Anolis sagrei: one gene and its partner. The protein of the gene in region 2 interacts with the protein of the main gene of each other region in a pairwise test. Links are inferred from orthologs where the notes say so. Each region holds a gene or a part of one and is shown on either strand. Other genes may lie near its edges.

What was found.
Region 1: the proteins of LYAR (region 2) and PRKRA interact in binary tests that used the Homo sapiens proteins (3 or more experiments, as listed by UniProt). The two-hybrid records come from large-scale screens. The link is inferred for Anolis sagrei from reciprocal best matches to the Homo sapiens genes LYAR and PRKRA.

What each region holds. Positions count from the first base shown.
Region 1 is NC_090021.1:189,754,885-189,765,313, reverse strand, and holds the start of PRKRA (interferon-inducible double-stranded RNA-dependent protein kinase activator A), read right to left. Parts: upstream 3,999-10,429; 5' UTR 3,984-3,998; coding exon 3,742-3,983; intron 1-3,741. UniProt on the Homo sapiens protein: Activates EIF2AK2/PKR in the absence of double-stranded RNA (dsRNA), leading to phosphorylation of EIF2S1/EFI2-alpha and inhibition of translation and induction of apoptosis.
Region 2 is NC_090025.1:106,647,015-106,656,904, reverse strand, and holds the start of LYAR (cell growth-regulating nucleolar protein), read right to left. Parts: upstream 3,893-9,890; 5' UTR 3,737-3,892; intron 658-3,736; 5' UTR 608-657; coding exon 486-607; intron 1-485. UniProt on the Homo sapiens protein: Plays a role in the maintenance of the appropriate processing of 47S/45S pre-rRNA to 32S/30S pre-rRNAs and their subsequent processing to produce 18S and 28S rRNAs. Also acts at the level of transcription regulation.

The DNA of each region.
Region 1 (10,429 bases), on a different chromosome or scaffold from region 2:
GTGACATTGTAGAAGGGGTCTTAGGGTACATCTACACTGAAGACATAATGCAGTTTGACACTACCTTAACTGCTGTGGAATCATGGAAGTTGTAGTTTAGCAAGTTATTTAGCCTTCTTTGACAAAGCTGCAATCCTTATAATTCCACAGCATTGAACAATGGTGGTTAAAGTGGTGTCAGACTGCATTAATTCTGCTCAGGCTCTTTGATCAACTGAGGAGGCCCTACTCTTGGTCCCACCCCTATCTCAAGCATGACTGGTAGGAACGAGAGAGGGGGCCTTCTCGATGGTTGCCCCCTATCTTTAGGATGCCCTCCCCAAGGAGATCAAAATGCCCCCCTCCTTACCCATTTTTTAAAAGCACCTTAAAACATTCCTATGCTCTCAAGCCTATGATGAGAAGAAGGAATAGAGTTCACAACATTGATGAATGGAAAGGAAATGGACTTGATATGCTATCTTAGCTGACTTTTAATGATTTAAATGTTGATTATTTAAATTACTTGTTTTAACTTGTGTAATGTATTTTATTGTTGTTGTTTATTTGACTTTTGTTTTATGCAGGCATTGAATGTTTGCCTTTATTATGTTGGAAGCTCCCTCTCCTCTTGGGGAGATAGAGCAGGCTACAAATAAATTATTAATAATAATAATAATAATAATAATAATAATAATAATAATTCTACAGTGTAGATGTACCCTGAGTTCCATTTAGCATCAACTCTGGCCCCTTTTACTCTGCAATACAGTCCAGACTATCAAATCAGAAAATCACATTATCTGCTTTAAACTGGATTATATGAGTGCAAACTGCCATACAATCAATTTCAAAGCAGATAACCTGGATTTTATTTGGCACTGTAGAAGGGGCATCACTGGGTTCTGCAGTAGTTTCAAACCTGTACTGAAGAAAGTAGTTTCACTATGCTGATGATTACATAGGAAATCCTGGAACCGGTTTGAGACCTGAATGGTGATTACACAAATCACATGTCTATTAAGGACTTTCATTCATATGCCTTAGAGCCCTTCCACACAGCCATATAATCCAGAATATAAAGGCAGAAAATCCCACATTATCCGAGCATTGTAATGCTAGTCATTAGTGGCCTCCCATCCAAGAATGGGATGGTCATCTGTCGGGGGTGTTTTGATTGTGCTTTTCCTGTGTGGCAGGGGGTAGGGCTGGATGCCTGGTGGAGTCACTTCCAACTCTATGGCCCAATTTACACTGTAATACAAAATCCAGATTATCTGCTTTGAACTGGATTACATGGCAGTGTAGACTCATAAAATCCAGTTCAAAGCAGATAATCTGGATTATTTGATAACTTGGATTATAGGGCAGTGTAGAACCAGCCTTTGAACTGGATTAATGGCAGTGTAGACTCATAAAATCCAGTTCAAAGCAGATAATCTGGATTATTTGATTTGATAACTTGGATTATATGGCAGTGTAGATCCAGCCTATGATTCTAAACAGGGATGATTATGTTCAGCTTCCAAGATCTGGAAAAAAAAAGAAGTGAAAGGAAAAGAGAAAAAGATATGACTGGAGGCAAAGAAACAAAGGAAAAGAAGGGGCCTTCCACACAGCTGTATAAAATCCACATTGAACTGGATTATATGACAGTGTGGATTAAGATAACCCTATTCAAGCAAATATTGTGGATTATCTGCTGTGATATTCTGGGATATAGGGCTGTGTGGAAGGGAAAGAGAAAGAGAAAAAGAAAAAGAAAGAGAAAGGGGGGGAAGAAAGAGGGCAGAAAGAAGAAAGAAAGGAGAGAGAGAGGAAGGAAAAAAAGAAGGCAAGAAAGAAGAGAGGGGAATGTGTATATGGTCAGCTTCCAAGATCAGATGGGATTGGGAGGAATATGTCGTTTTAATACATAGGACCCTTCTTGACTGCCATAGAAGAACAAGCCCTATGAGGAGCGGCTTAAGGAGCTCGGCATGTTTAGCCTGAAGAAGAGATATGATAGCCATGTATAAATATGTGAGAGGAAGTCAAAGGGAGGAGGGAGCAAGCTTGTTTTCTGCTTCCCTGGAGACTAGGACGCAGAACAGTGGCTTCAAACTACAAGAGAGGAGATTCCATCTCAACATGAGGAAGAACTTCCTGACTGTGAGAGCCGTTCAGCAGTGGAACTCTCTGCCACGGAGTGTGGTGGAGGCTCCTTCTTTGGAGGTTTTTAAACAGAGGCTAGATGGCCATCTGTCTGAGGTGCTTTGAATTAATACAGTTCCTCATGTTGTGGTGACCCCCAACAATAATATTATTTGTGTTGCTACTTCACAACTACAATTTTGCTACTGTTATTAATCATAATATAAATATCTGATATGCAGGATGTATTTTCATTCACTGGACCAAATTTGGCACAAATACATGATATGCCCCAATTTGAATACTGGTGGGGTTGGCAGGGGATTGATGTTGTCATTTGGGAGTTGTAGTTGCTGGGATTTATAGTTTACCTACACTCAAAGAGCATTATGAACTCCAACGATGGAATTGAACCAATCTTGATACAGAGAACTCCCGTGACCAATAGAAAATACTGGAAGGGTTTGATGGGCACTGACCTTGTTTTGGAGTTGTAGTTCACCTAGATCCAGAGAGCACTGTGGACTCAAATAATGATGGATCTGGACCAAACTTGTCATGAATACTCAACATGCCCAATGTGAATGAACACTGGTGGAGTTTGGGGAAAATAGACCTTGGCATTTGAGAGTTTTAGTTGCTGGGATTTATAATTCACCTACAACAGGGGTCCTCAAACTAAGGCCCGGGGGCCGGATGCGGCCCTCCAAGGTAATTTACCTGGCCCTCGCTCAGTCTAAGTCTGAAAAGACTTGAAAGCACACAACAACAACAATGCTATCTCATCAGCCAAAAGCAGGCCCACACTTCCCATTGAAATACTAATAGGTTTTTATTTGTTAAAATTGTTCTTCATTTTAATTATTGTATTTTAAGTGTTTTTGCACTACAAATAAGATATGCCCAGCGTGCATAGGAATTCATTCATTTTTTTCCAAATTATAATCCGGCCCTCCAACAGTTTGAGGAACTGTGATCTGGCCCTCTGTTTAAAATGTTTGTGGACCCCTGACCTACAATAAAAGATCATTCTGATCCCTAACAATGATAGTATTGGGCCAAACTTCCCCCATGGAACCCTTATGACCAACAGAAAATACGTTTTTGCATGGTTTTTGGCGACCCCTCTGAAACCCCCTCATGACCCCCCCCCAGGGGTCCCGACCCCCAGGTTGAGAACCACTGCAATAGAGACTCCTATAATCCAGTTCAACGCAGATAATATCTGTTTTGATGACCTAGATGATAATGGCAGTGCAATGAGGATATAGTTCACCCCATGTGTCTTGAGATGGCGAATTGCACAGGGTTTCCTTAGGGAGACCGCGAGGGTGCACCTAGAATTAATTGCATTTGACCCCATGGAATGCTGGGAGTTGTAGTTTCACAAGGTACTCTTAAAGCGTGGTGGGAGGGGGGGGAGTGAAATCTCCTCGCTTTTGCATTCGTGGGTGGACGGTCTCCCGCCTAAATCCTAACCAGGGTGGGTGATACTTAGCTTGCAACATCAGATTGGGGATTTTTGGGGGGTGGGGGGAGAGAGATGCAATGAATGGGAGCAGCGAGAGCAACCCCCTCCCTCCCTCCCTCCGTGCTTCTCTCCACGCGGGCGCCGCCCTTGGCTCAGACCTGGTGGGGGTGGGAGGCGACTGCGATGGCGACGGCTGCTTCTCCGCCTCGGCCTGGGTGGCGGGCTCGGCGCCCAAGCTGCCCTCCTGGGGCTGAGCCGCCGCCACGCCGCCGCTCCCTGCCTCTTCTTCTTCCTCCTCCTCTTCCTCCGCCTTCTCCTTTTCCGCCTCCATCGCTTCTTCTTCTTCTCCTTCTTCTTCCTGGCCGGGAAAGCCTCCCTCGGTTCCCTCCCTCCCGCGCATCACGTGTGTTTCCGGGGCCAGCGCAGCCAGGCGGAGCCAAGCCCAGCCCTCCCACCCCAGCCAGGCGGCCACTCCACCCTCCTCACGCTGCCACCCCTTAAGACGCTGCCTCGTCTTGTGCTGACACCCCCCCCCCCCCAAGCGTAACATTATTTTCGTTGCTACTTCATAACTGCGATTTTGCTTCTGTTATGAATCGTAGTGTAAATACGATTCATAACAAGCCAATGGGATTTTGGCCTGCATCAATAGGAGCATAGTGTCTGTCTAGATCTAAGGAAGTAATGCTCCCCATGCTCTATTCTGCTTTGGTTAGACCACATCTGGAATATTGTGTCCAATTCTGGGCACCACAATTCCAGAGAGATATTGACAAGCTGGAATGTGTCCAGAGGAGGGCGACTAAAATGATCAAGGGTCTGGAGAACAAGCCCTATGAGGAGCGGCTTGGGGAGCTGGGCATGTTTAGCCTGAAGAAGAGAAGGATGAGAGGAGATATGATAGACATGATTAAATATGTGAGGGGAAGCCACAGGGAGGAGGGAGCAAGCTTGTTTTCTGCTTCCTTGGAGACTAGGACACGGAACAATGGCTTCAAACTACAAGAGAGGAGATTCCATCTGAACACAAGGAAGAACTTCCTGACTGTGAGAGCTGTTCAGCAGTGGAACTCTCTGCCCTGGAGTGTGGTGGAGGCTCCTTCTTTGGAAGCTTTTAAACAGAGGCTGGATGGCCATCTGTCAGGGATGATTTGAATGCAATATTCCTGCTTCTTGGCAGGGGGTTGGACTGGATGGCCCATGAGGTCTCTTCCAACTCTTTGATTCTATGATTCTATGAAATACCTGATAGGCAGGATGTCTTTTCATTCACTGGACCAAACTTAGCACAAATGATCAAGGGTCTGGAGAACAAGCCTTATGAAGATGTTTAGCCTGAAGAAGAGAAGGCTGAGAGGAGATAGGATAGCCATGTATAAATATGCCATGTATAAATATGTGAGAGGAACATGATGGCAACAGTCTTGGACAGCAGTGGCTCCCAAAGTGACCCATTTAAGGTCAATCAATCAAAATAGTTTATTGTACGGGCCCAAGGCAGTTAACCCTTAAAATCTCCTTGGCAGTTGATAGCAATTTTATCTAACTCTGTCTTTCTGATCTTTTTTGCAGAGCGAGCAAAAAGGGCTACTTTGTAGGTTACATAGTCATTTGTATCGCCCAGTAGAAACTGCACTGTTTCTGCAATAGAGTTCCCTTCATCTTGTGTCAACAAGGGTTTCAGGTGTCTTTCCCTTGGGTCGCTATACAATGGGCAGACTAACAGGTAATGCACAATGTCTTCTACCTGACATTGACTACAAATACATAGTCTGTTTTCCCAGGGAACATTTTGGTAGCGACCATCTAACACTGCGGTTGGCATCAGGCATCACTTGAAATCGCAGCTCGGTGAAGGCGGTTCTCAAGGAAGGAGGCTTGAGCGTAACCATTTAAGGTGGAATCGGGTGTCAAACAGGGACGTGTTATCGCCCCGACTTTATTCTCCATCTTCATCGCTATGATACTTCACCTTGTTGATGGGAAGCTTCCCACCGGAGTGGAAATCATCTAACCCTCCCCCCCCCCCCCACCCCAATGAATGCATCCTTAATATTTTAGAAGTTTGGGTTTATTATTATTTTAATAAACTCTTAACAGAATGGAGATCTGGAATAGCGATGATGATGAAGAACAAACTTTATCCTTTAGACCAGGGATATCAAACTCATTTCCACTGAGGGCCACATTAGCCTTATGGTTGACTTCAAAGGGCTATTTAATTCATGGACAGAGAATCAGTGGATAAAGAGAGCCCAGCTATACAGTTTTTTTACATACTGGTCAGTGCTCTTTAGTTTTTACTCAGTTTGTGTCCCCAGATGTTATTGAACACCAACACCCATCACTTTTGATTATCCACCATGCGGACTGGGGATAATGGGAATTGCAACCCAACAACCCTTGTGGCTCTAATATTGGGGAAGGGTTAAATGACATTTTAAAGTCAGGCATTATATCCACAACCCCAATATCCCGACTAAACAGAACAAACTGCAGCCTTTCAGGTGTTACTGTACTGTAACTCCCATCAGCTCGAGTAATTGTGTCTAATGATGAGTAATAAAAGAGTTGTAGCCCAGTATCTGAAGGAGCACATAAAGTGGCATAGTGGTGTGGATTTAACTCATGTGCCTAGAGTTGACGCATATGTTACTGAAAACCAGATCCCCAAAAGGATAAACCCTAGAGTCCACAGCTCCATAGGGATTGATAGGGAACCCCTTGTTGACAGGCAACAATAATATTAGGTACAGGTCTGTGGCTGTTCATTCTGGGGTCGATTAGAGGAAAGAATCTGGATAATTGGTAGGAAGAATAAGGCCACATTCGACAATGTGTAGGGCTGAGTTAGAACTGGTCATTTTCAAAGGCTTGTTGAAAACACCAGGTCTTCAAGCTCTTACGAAAGGAGGGGAGGGATGGGGCCTGCCTTATTTCCCTTGGAAGGGCGTTCCAGAGGTGGGGGGCAACCACTGAGAAGGCCCTCAGTCTTTCATTAACCAACCCCCACACACACACACACAAATGTTGCATAAGCACCATACACGTCTCAGACCTCAGCGAATGTCTACACAATAGTTGCATAGTCCTCTTCACAATACCCTGAGATGACACACGGAAAGCATAAAGGGCTTAGAAGTGAGCCATGGGGTGATCTCATTCTATTCTTGAGAATGTTTTCTCACCTTTATTGAAGTTGGACCCCCTTCTTGGGGTCCCAGTTGAATTTGCCCACACCCTGACCTCCCTTTTATTTACCTCACTGGCACCCATTGTATTGACTAGAGCAGAGATATCAAAGCCCATCCCAGCCCATTATCCCTTGCCATATCACATTTCTTTCCATGCGCATTCTTCTGATGGGCGGATCAAGAAGCCTTCAAAAATAATCCAAAGACAGTTTATTAAATTTCCCACCATTACCAGAGTCAATCAGTGAAGAAGAAAATGGAGAGGGATCCTAGCTGGTGCCACTCTAGATGAATCAGTAGCCTACGTGGCAATGTGCCTTTGTTTTGAGTAGCTGTCAAACATTAAAAAGAAATCTGTTCGCAGTTGTATGTCTTTCTTTGGAGCGCAGATTCTTCTGGTATAAATGTTGACCAAGATTTATAAATGACTCTGATTTTGCCTTCAGTCTATCTGCATTTTATTCAGTCCTTTGGTGGCTTGACACTCAGGGATCCGAACCCACGATTTTAGCAGAGCACATGTGCTTTAGATAGAAAGGGTGTGAACCCCCTCTTTGCTCATACTTTGCTGGTATTCTGGCCCTCAGTGGAAAATCTTAGATTTCTTCACTATTTTTCATGACTATGTTGTATATTGCCTTTTTTTTTTTTTTTTGGCAGCCGGGGGGGGGGGGGGCAGTTGGAGAATGTAGAAGTCTACAGAAACTGTGCCAGTACTGTCCCTCCTAAACTAGAATGTGATCACAACTTCTTCCCAGTTACACCCACTCTCTGTTATGTTTTAAAGCAGTGTTTCTCAACCTGGGGGTCAGGACCCCTGAGGGGGTCATGAGGGGGTGTCAGAGGGGTCACCAAAGACCATCAGACAACACAGTATTTTCTGTTGTCATGAGAGTTCTTTGTAGGAAATTTGGCCCAATTCTATCGTTGGTGGGGTTCAGAATGCTCTTTGATTGTAGGTGAACTATAAATCCCAGCAACTACAACTCCCAAATGACAAAATCAATTCCCTGCCCAACTCCACCAGTATTCAAAATTTGGATATATCGGGTATTTGTGCCAAATTTGGTCCAGTGAATGACAATACATTCTGCATATCAGATATTTACATTATGATTCATAACAGTAGCAAAATAACAGTTACGAAGTAGCAATGAAAATAATGTTATGGTTGGGTGTCACCAGAACATGAGGAACTATTAAGGGGTCACAGCATTAGGAAGGTTGAGAAATACTGCTGTAAAGTTTAACATCCAAAGAAGCCCACGTTTTATGAAACATTGCATGGGATTATTCAGGCCACATAATATGGATCCTAAATTAATTGTGGCTGCACCATTAAGTTGCTTGTCAGTTTATGGTAACCCCATGGATTTAATAGGGTTTTCTCAGGTAAGGAATACTCAGAGGTGGCTTTGCCAGTTCCTTCCTCTGGATTATAGCCTACAGCACCTGGTATTTGTTGTCAGTGTCCCATCCAAGTACTAACTAGAGGCGGCCCTGTTTAGTTTCCAAGATCAGACAAGATCCTGGCCACCTTATTAAATCCTAAATTTAGTTGGCAGCATAATAATAATAATAATAATAATAATAATAATAATAATTATTATTATTATTATTTATACCCCGCTACCAACTCCCCAAGGGACTCGGTGCGGCTTACATGAGACCAAGCCCACAGTCGGGCGGCTCAACCCATTACGCAAAGTAAGCATTTGCAGTATAGTTGATTTTGCCTAGGGGCGCTCTTGAAGCGCTCTTGGGGGAAAATAGACCTTGACATTTGCGAGTTGTAGTTACTGGGATGTATAGTTCACCTACAATCAAAGAGCATTCTGAACTCCACCAGTGATTGAATTGAACCAAATACGGCACACAGAACTCCCATGACAAATAGAAAATATATATCAGTGATTGGTTAGGGTGGGGTGGGGTGGGGGGCGCCAAAATACTGCTTGCTTACCATTGAAAATTACCTAGGGCCGCCTCTGCCCACAGTACATCAATAAACAAAAGCAATAACAAAAACAGTCAATACAATACAATTAATATAAATCACATAAACAATAAACCATAAACAGTAACACACAAGCATTTAAAAACCTATGGGTGGGCCAAATGTAATAGTTTAACATTTAAAAATAACGCTGGGCATGAACAAGGTAGGATATAACTGGTATAGGGTTTTCAAGGAGATATGAGGGAACGCAGTCAGTCCTAAATCAGTGGTAAAGTGCATTTTGAGGGCATATTGCTGAGAGTTTTCCTTATTCTGGGAAGGCACATTGGAACAACCACGTTTTCAGGCTCCTCCTAAAGACTGCCAGAGTTGGGACATGTCTGATGAGTAAACCTATTAAATCAATGAAATTTGAAACAAGAGTAAAACTATTAAATCAATGAAATTTACTTAACTATTATCTTACCTTTCCGCGACTGATTTAGCAAATCTGCTCTTGTAGGTTTAGGTATGAGAGATTTTGTGTTGCATTCATACCTATTTTTGAAATGAGAGCATTTCTAAAATCTAGTAAACTATAATCCACAACTCTCTCCCCAAGATGCAGCAAAGTCTTGAGATGCTGGGGCCTATTGTGTTGGAAATTGGCACATCAAAGAAACTTGCACTATTACTATTTCTATTTCAAAATATTCCCGTAATTAGAAGCCAAGTAACCTTTAAAAGTTGGAATAAAGAACTCCTGAAATTCGTATGGGACGGAAAAAGACCTAGAATTAAGTATATGAACTTAATTGATAAAAAAACAAGAGGAGGACTAGGTTTCCCAGACCTGAAAGCATATCATGATTCAAGTGCTCTCTTATGGATAAGAGACTGGATGTTATTAGAAAATGAAAAATGTCTGAATTTAGAAGGCCATGATTTACGTGTGGGCTGGCATGCCTACACGTGGTATGAAAGAGAGAAAAAGGAAAAGAATTTTGGGAATCACTTCGCCAGAGCATCTTTGCTGAGAGTGTGGTTAAAATATAAAAATCTTTTCTATAACAAAACGCCACTTTGGGTTTCACCAATGGAGGCGCATCAAAGAAGACTGTTAGGCTGGAGAGCGTGGCCAACGTATAAGGATATCTTAAAAGAGAATACAGGGGAGATTAAGTCTTACGAACAATTGAAGGAGAAAAATAAGAATATGACATGGTTACATTACTTACAAATGAAAGACTATATTAAACAAGATAATAAAGTAGGCTTTGCCTGGGAAGGCTCGATGTGGGATAAAATTTTAAAGGCAAGGAGGAAAGTAATCTCGGTCATATATAATACTCTTCTGACGTGGTCAACGGAGACTGAGCAAGTTAAACCATGTATGATAAAGTGGGCACAAAATATAAGAAGATCTATTCAATTTAAAGAGTGGGAACAGATGTGGAACAAGAAATTAAAATATGTATATGCAACTGATTTAAAGGAAAACTGGATAAAAATGTTCCACAGATGGTATACCACGCCTATGAAATTATCTTTGATAAATAAAAATTCTTCAGATAAATGTTGGAAAGGTTGCCAACAGACAGGTACTTTTTATCACATGTGGTGGACTTGCAAAGAAATAGTGAAATATTGGTCTATGATTCATGAAGAGGTACAAAAAATCTTAAAAAGAATTTTTAAGAAGAAACCGGAGTA
Region 2 (9,890 bases):
TGAGTGCAATCATACTACATGAACTTTCAGCTAACAGTCAAAACAGTGCTGTTCTGCACAATTTCTAATGTTGGAAATTGTAGTTTTAAAATTAAATTTCAGAATTGTTTCTAAAATGCTTTTGAAAGAGCATCTTAATGAGTTTTTAAAAAAGTTTTCTTAGTCCTGCTTTACTTTCTTTTATTTATTGCACCAAAAGTTCTTGTGAATTACAGCAGACAGTGATACAGAAATATCTTGAATACAGAAACTCAAACACCCACACAGAATGTTGATATTTATTTTTGTTTAACTTCTTAAAAACTTGGTTCCTGAACCTCAGAATAACTAAAGTGATTGCTTTAGAAAAAAGATCCATCTTACTAGTCACATCCAAACTGAGTTCTGAATCTATATCTTATTGCACCATTAGCGAAAATGGACTTGCTGTGCTGCAAGTGAATTTCCTCTAATCAATAGTGAAGTAAGAGTATGGTTCTACTTACCAGAAATCTTTGCCACAGTCCATACAAGAAAGACACTGACAGTTCCGGCACATATTTACATGTTTTTCCACCTGGCCCTTCTTCACCGATTCTCCACAAGCATTACAGGTGAAAACTACCATCTTGAAAAATAACAGAATTCAATTCTTCAAATGCTATTAGATCATATTACCTTCAAGAAAATTTGAGAAATGAATATAATTGACCATTTTTGAATCACTATTTGTTATGCTTTAGCCTCAAATGGAGGCATTATCCAGCTCAAGCACCAGTATCATAGCATCAATGAGAAAGGAGAACATACGGATACTCTTATGTAGTTGTAATATCGTATGAGCATCCCATATCCAGAAATTCAAAATACTCCAAAATCCACATGCAACTGAAATAGTGATATTGTTGCTTTCTGATGTTCAATCTGCACAAGCTTTGTTTCATGAACAAAATCATTAAATTACCTTCATATTTATATAAGGCATAAATGAAACACACATTAATTTCATGTTTAGACCTAGGACCATTGCCACAATATTTCATGACATATATGCAAGTATTTGCAAACACTTCTGATTTCAAGAATTTTGGATAAGGGATGCTCAACCACACTGCTATAACCCTACATGTTGTGAACTGTACCTTTGGACACCAAGCCTGATGGGTCTTTATCTTGTCAATAAAGCAAAGGTTGCACTTATACCATAGAATTAACACAGGATGACACCACAGTAACAGCCATGGCTGAATGCTATGAAATCCTGGGGGGCTGAGTTTAGTGAGGCACCAACACTTTTGCCTGTATAAAACTATGACTGCCAGGATTTATAGCATTTAGCCATGGCAGTGAAAGTGATGTCAAACTTCACAACGTCTATAAGTGCAGATGCATCCAATTAGAAAGAGCCAGGCATAGACAAGGCAGAAACTTCTTAGGGACACAGAAAAATATTAAATTACATGCTTGCTGTCTACAAGGAGGCAAAGAATACCGAAAGAAGAGTTTTTAGTTAAAAGCGCTATTACACTATATATAACACGATTTTTGTTCCTGGGATATAAACATCATTTCCTAATTGGTTCTGTCATAAAAACATGGAAAACATTTATTACTATAGTTTTTTCCTAGAATAGTTTTTCAATGAATATCTCATCGAGTCTCAACCAATTCAACATAGTTTGTGACAGCCACAAGTTTCTGGAGTATAGCAACTACTTTAAAGTAAGTACCATACAATTAAATGGGAAATAGCACTTTCAAACGGGGAACATACTTTTTTTCAAATTTTGTTACATAGTGTTATGCTGGGAAAAGCATGTAATGTTGACAATCTAGAACAGGGGTCTCCAAACTAAGGTCATTTACCTGGTTCCCATCCTAAACTTTAGAGTTAAGGTCGCCCTAAGGGAAAATGCACAACAACAAGAACAATGCTAATTCACTTGTCTATTTCATCAGCCAAAAGCAGGCAATTTCCCATTGAAATACTGATGCTAAATCTGGTCTTCATTTTAAATACTGTACTGCTCTTTTATGTTTATTTGGACTAAAATATATGTGCATTGTGTGTAGGAATCCATTAGTGCTTTTTCCAAACTACAGTCCACACACACACACTGAACAGCTCAGGGACAGTGAACTGGCCGTCGGTTTAAAGGGTCTGAGGAGCCCTGGCCTAGAAGGCTCTTTCCAGGATGTGGGTAACATTAGGACACAGGAGTGGTTAATATAGACCCCATCTACGCTGCCATATACAATCCAGATTATATGCTTTGAACTGGATTATATGGTAGCATAGTAATGGTTCAACAATGGCTGCTTATATCTAATCTTCCACAATCCTGATGTCAAGAGCTGTTTGACAGTGGTTATGCTGCTTCAGAGTGTGGTGGTCTCCTTCTCTGGGGTTTTTTAAGCAGAGGCCGGATGGCCATCTGTCGGGGGTGCTTTGATTATGAGTTCCATCTGAACATGAGGAAGAACCTGTGAGAGCTATTCAGCAGTGGAACTCTCTGCCCCAGAGTGTGGTGGAGGCTCCTTCTTTGGAGGCTTTTAAACAGAGGCTGGATGGCCATCTGTCAGGGGTGCTTTGAATGCAATATTCCTGCTTCTTAGCAGGGGGATGGACTGGATGGCCCATGAGGTCTCTTCCAACTCAGCCAGTGGAGGTGACATAACAGGGGGGTGGAGCATACCACCCCTGTTATGTCAGCTCCACTAGCCGCCGATCCAGTTCTGAGCACAATTCAAAGTGCTGGTTTTGACCTACAAAACCCTATACGGCTCCGGCCCAGCGTACCTGTCCGAACGTATCTCCTTCTACGTCCCACCTCGGAGTTTAAGATCCTCCGGGGAGGCCCTACTCTCGGCCCCACCTTTATCACAAGTGAGACTGGTGGGGACGAGGGACAGGGCCTTCGCGGTGGTGGCCCCTTGCCTGTGAAATGCACTCCCCGGGGAAATTAGGTCATCAACATCCCTCCTCTCTTTCAGAAGGAAGTTAAAAACCTGGATATGGGACCAGGCTTTTGGGTAAGCTGGCAGATGGATGACGACCAGGGTAGGAAAGGACAATGACAATGCTGGATGGATTATGGATTTATGAATTGGCGAACGTTGACCACAAGATGATTTTATTGCTGCTATTGTATTAATTTGATTGTTTTAACTAGTTATAACTGTTGTCGTTATATTGTATTTTGTATATTGTATTAAGTGAACTGTTGGGCATCGAATTGTGCCTTTTGTAAGCCGCCCTGAGTCCCCCTTAGGGAGTTGAGAAGGGCGGGGTAGAAGCACTCCAAATAAATAAAAGAAATAAAATAAACTCTATGATTCTATGGAAGAAGGTTGGCTCTTGTGGTCTCTTCCAACAATTCAAATTATTTAATGTAGAAGAGTGTAAAAAAAGATGTCTAGATGCAATTGCCCAAGGCCAATCAGAAAGATGAATAACACCCAGACCTCACAACCTCTGAGGATGCCTGCCATAGATGCAGGCGAAACGTCAGGAGAGAATGCTTCTAGAACATGACCCTATGGGCCGAAAAAAAAACCTACAACAATCCAACGCCCATTCCTCCTCTTTTGTGGCTTGTATGGAGGGAAAACAGTTCTTTGCAAGACTAGAGGAGCAGTTTCACACCCAAAGTGCCATGGCCTGAGGATGGAGGAAAGGCAATGGCCTACTATCCGCTTCCCTTTAACTCCTGCCTTACTTCCCCATGGCCTGGACCCAAACAGTTGGTTAACTTACAGCTATGGCTCTTTTATGACGGGTTAGAAAAACTTCCCTGCGCCTTTGAGAAGAGGCCGCCTTTATTCTCCGTGGATATATCACTGGCAGCCACGCGCAGTCTCCTAGGCTCCCCCTCTTCCCTAAAGGAGGCACTTCCGCTTGGAAGAGGGGGCGGGATTTCCGGCGGAATTGAGCCTCCTGCTGTTAAAGGCTCAGGCGTCAGTAGAGCTGTACGTGGAGTCATTCTGCATCCTCGTTGGAAGCTCTCTTCTAATGATTCCCAAACACTATTACTCTAAGGGGATTTTAATCAAAGCCTTCCTGACAAAGAGCCATCCAGTCATAAATATAGATAGATAGATATGATTCACACACACACACAGATATAGTATAGATTTGAAAGGGACCCCTAAAGAAGGACAATTATATGTTGCATTTTCCAGAGTAGGCAAACCAGACACTCTCCACATCAACACTGGCAAAGAAACAGCAAGAAATATGTTTACCCTCAAGTAGAAAGAAATCATATATATTAGAAACCAACACTTTCTCATTACTTTATTTTCCAGATCACCAGACTGGGCCACAGCAACGTGTGGCAGGGGACGGCTAGCCTATATAAATAAAAATATAATGATTGTTAGTGGGATTAACCTAACTCAAAAACCACTTGACATATTACCCCCAAATTTGGCCAAAAGACACCCAAGGAGTGACCATCACTTAAAAATGATTTTGTCATTTGGGACTTGGAGTTGCTGGGATTTATAGTTCACCTACAATCAAAGAGCATTCTAAACTTCACCAATGATGGAACTGAACCACAGGGCTCCCATGACCAACGCAAAACCCTAGAAGGGTTTGGTGGGCATTGAGCTTAAGTTTGGGAGTTGTAGTTCACCAACATCCAGAGAGCACTGTGGACTCAAACAATGATGGATATGGACCAAACTTGGCACAAATATTCCATATGCCCAAATATGAACACAGATTGAGTTTGGGGAAAATAGACCTTGACATTTGGAAGTTGTAGTTACTGGGATTTATAGTTCACCTACAATCAAAGAGCATTCTGACCCCCACCAATGACAGAATTGGAGCAAACTTCCGACACAGAACCCCCCTGACAAATAGAAAACACTTAAAGGCCAGCCAGTCCAACTCCCTTCACCAGGGCAAGAAAACGTAATCAATGCCCTCCTGACAAAGAGCCTCACACACACACACACACACACACATATGAGATACCCACACACACAAATATAGTATCATAGATTTGAAAGAGACCCTTAAAGAAGGACAATTATGTGTTGCATGTTCCAGGGTGGGCAAACTAGACAATCTCCACATCAACACTGACAAAGAAACAGCAAAAAATACTGTTTACCCACAAGCATTACAAAAATTACATATATTAGAAACTAACACTTTCTAATTACTTTATTTTCCAGATCACCAGACTGGGCCACAGCAATGCGTGGCAGGGGACAGCTAGTTTGATAATATTTTAAGTATAGTATTGCAAATTTAAAGGTCCAGAAATCGTGCGCCAATGCCCTCTGTCGGAATCACCAGGGAAGGACGGGACCTCTAGCCACTTTCCTGCGGAATTCTGGGGTTTGTAGTTTAGGGAGGGGCCTTGAAACGGCTCGGCTAGTGAGACCCTGGGCCTCCCTGAACTACAAAATCCAGAATTCTGCAGGAGGCAGTCAGTCTGGAAAGTGGATAGATTCTCCCTTGATGTCTCCCTCTTGGAGTTCAGTGTTGGGATGTGAATGATCACAGCTCTATGTTTCCCAGCGCAAGGCGGCCGGAAGTTGCGCTAGGAGGCGGGCCTAAGCGAGGGAGGGACGGTCTAGGGACCCATAGGACTCAACTGGGAGTGAGATGCACGCTCAGGCGTCTCCCTTGAACGGACTTAAAGGGACAGCGTCTCTCTGCTGTTTTGCCTCTCCCTTAGAAATGCAGGCATCCACAGCGAGGATGTGGCTGCCTCTCCAAGTCAAACTTTAAAAGGTATCATGTGAAAAGGGAGGGAGAAAGGCATGTTGGGTCGCTGAGCAGAGGAGGAGGAACAGAAGGGTCAGAGGCCTTGCTTTATTTGGAACCACTTCCCAGGTATGTCCCTTTTCCTGCTTGGCGGTCCCCACAATGTGTGGTGTTGTTTCCTTTGGGCTATTCCACGTTCCTACTAACCCAGGATTGCCACCTTTCATTTGACTCCTCACAAGGATAAATACTAAGGACTTCCTACTTCATGAATCCACTTTCAATCCTGTCTCTGCCTCCTGCAGAATTCTGGGGTTTGTAGTTTAGTGAGGCTGTTAAAGTCTCCTCCCTAAACTACAAATCCCAGAATTCTGCAAGAGGTAGCAACCGGATTTAAAGCAGATTCATTCTGTAGTATGATGAGGCCCATCTATCAGAGGGAGCGGGGGAAAGTGTCTTCTTTGCATGTAGAATCGTCTTCTTTGCATGGGATTCAGTTCTTAAACAACAGAGAATTGACCATGGACTTCATCTCACGCGATAAGTAAAGTGTTTGGGATCGATGTTTTCCCCTTTAAGCTTCGCAACACCCCGTTTGGAAATTAAATGGATGATTTTCCTACCCCATCACACAGTTTCCCCTCTTTCCGCTTTCTTTTTAAAATGATCCCTTTTGCCTTCCCATCATGCAGGAGAGATATTTTGGTGATAGTATGATAGCTGGGTCCGGAAGCTTCGAGCGTTGCAGAGATGTCGCAAAGGAGGCTATGAATAAGGGAAGAGAGGGGGAGAGCAAAGGGAGGATAGAAAGGAGGGGACGCTTAGGGCAAGGTTTAGGGTTTGGGTTAGGATTATGGTAAGGGCTAGAGGTTAGGGTTAAGGTATGGTTTAGGGTTTGTGTAAGGGGTTAGGCTTAGGGTATGGTTCAGGGTTAGAGTAAACTAGGGTTTGGGTTAACATAAGGGTTAGGGTAAGATTTAGGGTTTCACCATTAAAGAACGCTTACATTCCTTCTATATTATCTGTCTCCGGCCTGGCTTACATTAGCTAAGTCTCTCTTGCGCAAACAGCACTCCCAAAGGAGCGATGCGGCATCTCCGTAACGCTCGGAGCTTCCGGACCCAGCTATCATACTATTACCGATATTTCTCCTCCCACTGTCTCCTCCCCCGTTTTCTTTGGATTAAAAAAGTATAAGGTATATTATAATTTCTTTTTATGAGTACTGATAGCTCTCAATTTGAAGGGTTGTTGTTTATTCGTTCAGTCGCTTCTGACTTGTCGTGACTTCATGGACCAGCCCACACCAGAGCTCCCAGTCGGCCATCACTACCCCCAGTTCCTTCAAGGTCAAGCCAGTCACTTCAAGGATACCATCCATCTATCTTGTCCATGGTTGGCTCCTCTTCCTTTTTCCTTCCATTTACCTCGGCATCATTGTCTTCTCTAAGCTAATTTGAAGGGTAACTCTATTTAATTTATGTTGTTTCAGAAGAGGTATAAATTGCTGTTCCTTCCTCTTCAGTCCCAAAACAGTAACAGTGGAAGAAAGGTATCAATACTGCCCATCTCAACTCAGCTTTCCATGATGGCATCATCGTTATGTTTACAAGCGATATGATTTCCCATCACACGTTAAATTTGATGTTTTTGTGCATCTCTGCACGGGGGATTGAAAAAGAAGGTGATTGCCAATCAACTTGGGAATTGTGGGGGATAAACACACTTTAGAACTTTGAATAATAATAATAATAATAATAATAATACTTTATTTATATACCACCCTATCTCCCCAAGAGGATTCAGGGCGGTTGCCAAAATAAGGCAGAACATTCAGTTGTCAAAAGAAAAACCATACAAAATTAAACATTATAAAACATAAACATAAATCCTATTAAAACCGTCACAAACATTTAAAAGCCAGTTTCAATTTTACTCCATCAAACGGGATTAAAATACCAATGGCCAGAATTGCAAAGTGGGCATGGTCAGCTATGAAAGGGCTGGATAAGGGCTAGGGCAATAGAGTATCATAGGGTCAGGGAAATGGATAAAGTGTAGAGCAGGGTCCTAGCTGATGGTCAAGGAACGGGCCTGGGACTAATAATTTTCGAAAGCCTGCTGGAACCACCAAGCTTTCAGGTCCCTGTGGAAGGAGGACAGAGTAGGGGCTTGCCTAGTCTCTCTGGGGAGGCCATCCAAAGTTGGGGGACCACCACCGAGAAGGCCTTCTCCCTTGCCCCCACCAATTGTGCTTGTGACAGTAGTGGGAGTTAAAGGAGGCCTTCCACGGCAGATCTAAGGGCCCGATCTGGTTCATACATTGAATTTGATCTAAGGGCCCGATCTGGTTCATACATTGAATTTTAACTTTGTATATGCATTGAATAGGTTTGAGTGGTTTTTAACCGTGAATTTGTAATACTGTTTGTATTTAATTCTGTTTCAATGTTTGTATATTTGTATATTTTAAATTGTGTACTAATGCTTTTATATTAAGCCGCTTTGAGTCCCTTTACAGAGAGATGAAACAGGGTATAAATAAATATGATGATGATGATGATAGAAATTGCAAGAAACCTCAAACCCATGGTACTAGCTTGCGTTGTGTGTGGCGCCTTTATATGTGGCGCCAAATCTATTTTTTACCTTAAACAATTGAAATATATCCTTATACTCAAGGAGATTGAAGGCATTGTTCTTAAGGCAGATACCCTTTCTCTGCACTCCTCTCCTTTCCCACCCAATCTCCTTACTCTCAATTGCAGATTTCCGAAACCTACTAGGCATTAGAACTCACTATAGTTGGTTTTTTTTTTAAAGGGACATCAAAGTTTAAAAGCTAGCAGTAATGCAATTTCAAAAGCCAAGGTTCCTGTGAAGGAGAAATGACAGGAAAAATAAAGTGGTGATATCTTCAAATTGCAGTATTCCTAACAATTAAATTAATTTAAAAAAGTTATTATACTAGGCTTATAAGGTGGGATTTTGGGAGAGAAATGTCAATGCTTGGTAGGAAACCATCCATGGGAACACCCCTTACTCCCTGTCACTGAAGTGATTCAACACAGGCAAATTTGACAGATCCCATCTCACATATTTTCCTTGTTTTCTCCCATTTCCATGAGCATCAGGAGCTCAGAAGATGCTTTCCAGTTATTCCTGTTTCCGAACACTTCAGAGATAGTTCACAGACAGAGCAGCATGGGCAAGAGGTGGGGGTCCCCTTGAACTGTATGATGTTTTAGTAGTGTGTAGAAACCGAGGGAGGGGGGGCTTACATACAATGAGGTCCTGAGTGTCTGTAACAGGCATGGGGTATCTGAAGAGCAGGGAGGAAATCTGCCTTCTTGAGTTTCCAATCCAACCCTCTGAAAATGTTAATTCAGTCCTTATTTATTTATTTCGAGCATTTATATCCTGTCCTTCTCACCTCCAAAGGAGGACTTAGGGCAGCTTATAGCAGGCAGCCATTAGATGCTAACACAATACATTAAAAAACCACAGTTACAATTAACAATGATTGAAACAATGATAATTCAATTTAAAAACAGTTCTTGTATCAAACTGGATGCTTCTTTTGAACATCAAAGTGAGGATAGCAGCTTTGGCCATGAAGTTCATTTGGTCACCTTACGGCAGTCTCCATTTCTTCTTCAAATTAGATTTAAGGGTTGTTGTGAAATTTATGGGAGGGATGGGGAGAACCATATGCTTGCTCTTAAACTCCCTATGTTGTAGAAGGGTTGCCCATCCTTGCTATAGAAGACGATCTTTCTACATCCATTTTACCTCATGTACAGCGTATCCCCCTACCTAGCGTATTACTACAGTACTTTCTCAAACACATTCTAGATTTTTTGAAGTTGATGAGTTGGCAGTCTTTGGGTCAGGTTTAATGTTCAGCTTTCAGTGGGGGTCCTAATCCATTTTTGTCTGAACTTCCTGAAATCGGGAGGAAGAATATTTGTTTTCTGTTTATATTTTGTTTAAATCTACATCAGAACTTTTCAAACAGTTCATGTTAGTGTCATATAATTTAGACATGCACCATTTCACAGCACAGTAATTCATTTTTACTAGCAAGCAAAAGATTAAACAAACTCTTTATAAGAGATACAGACACATACATATTGTAATAATGAAATGTACGGGGACAGTAGGGGCTATCTTTGGTCATCTC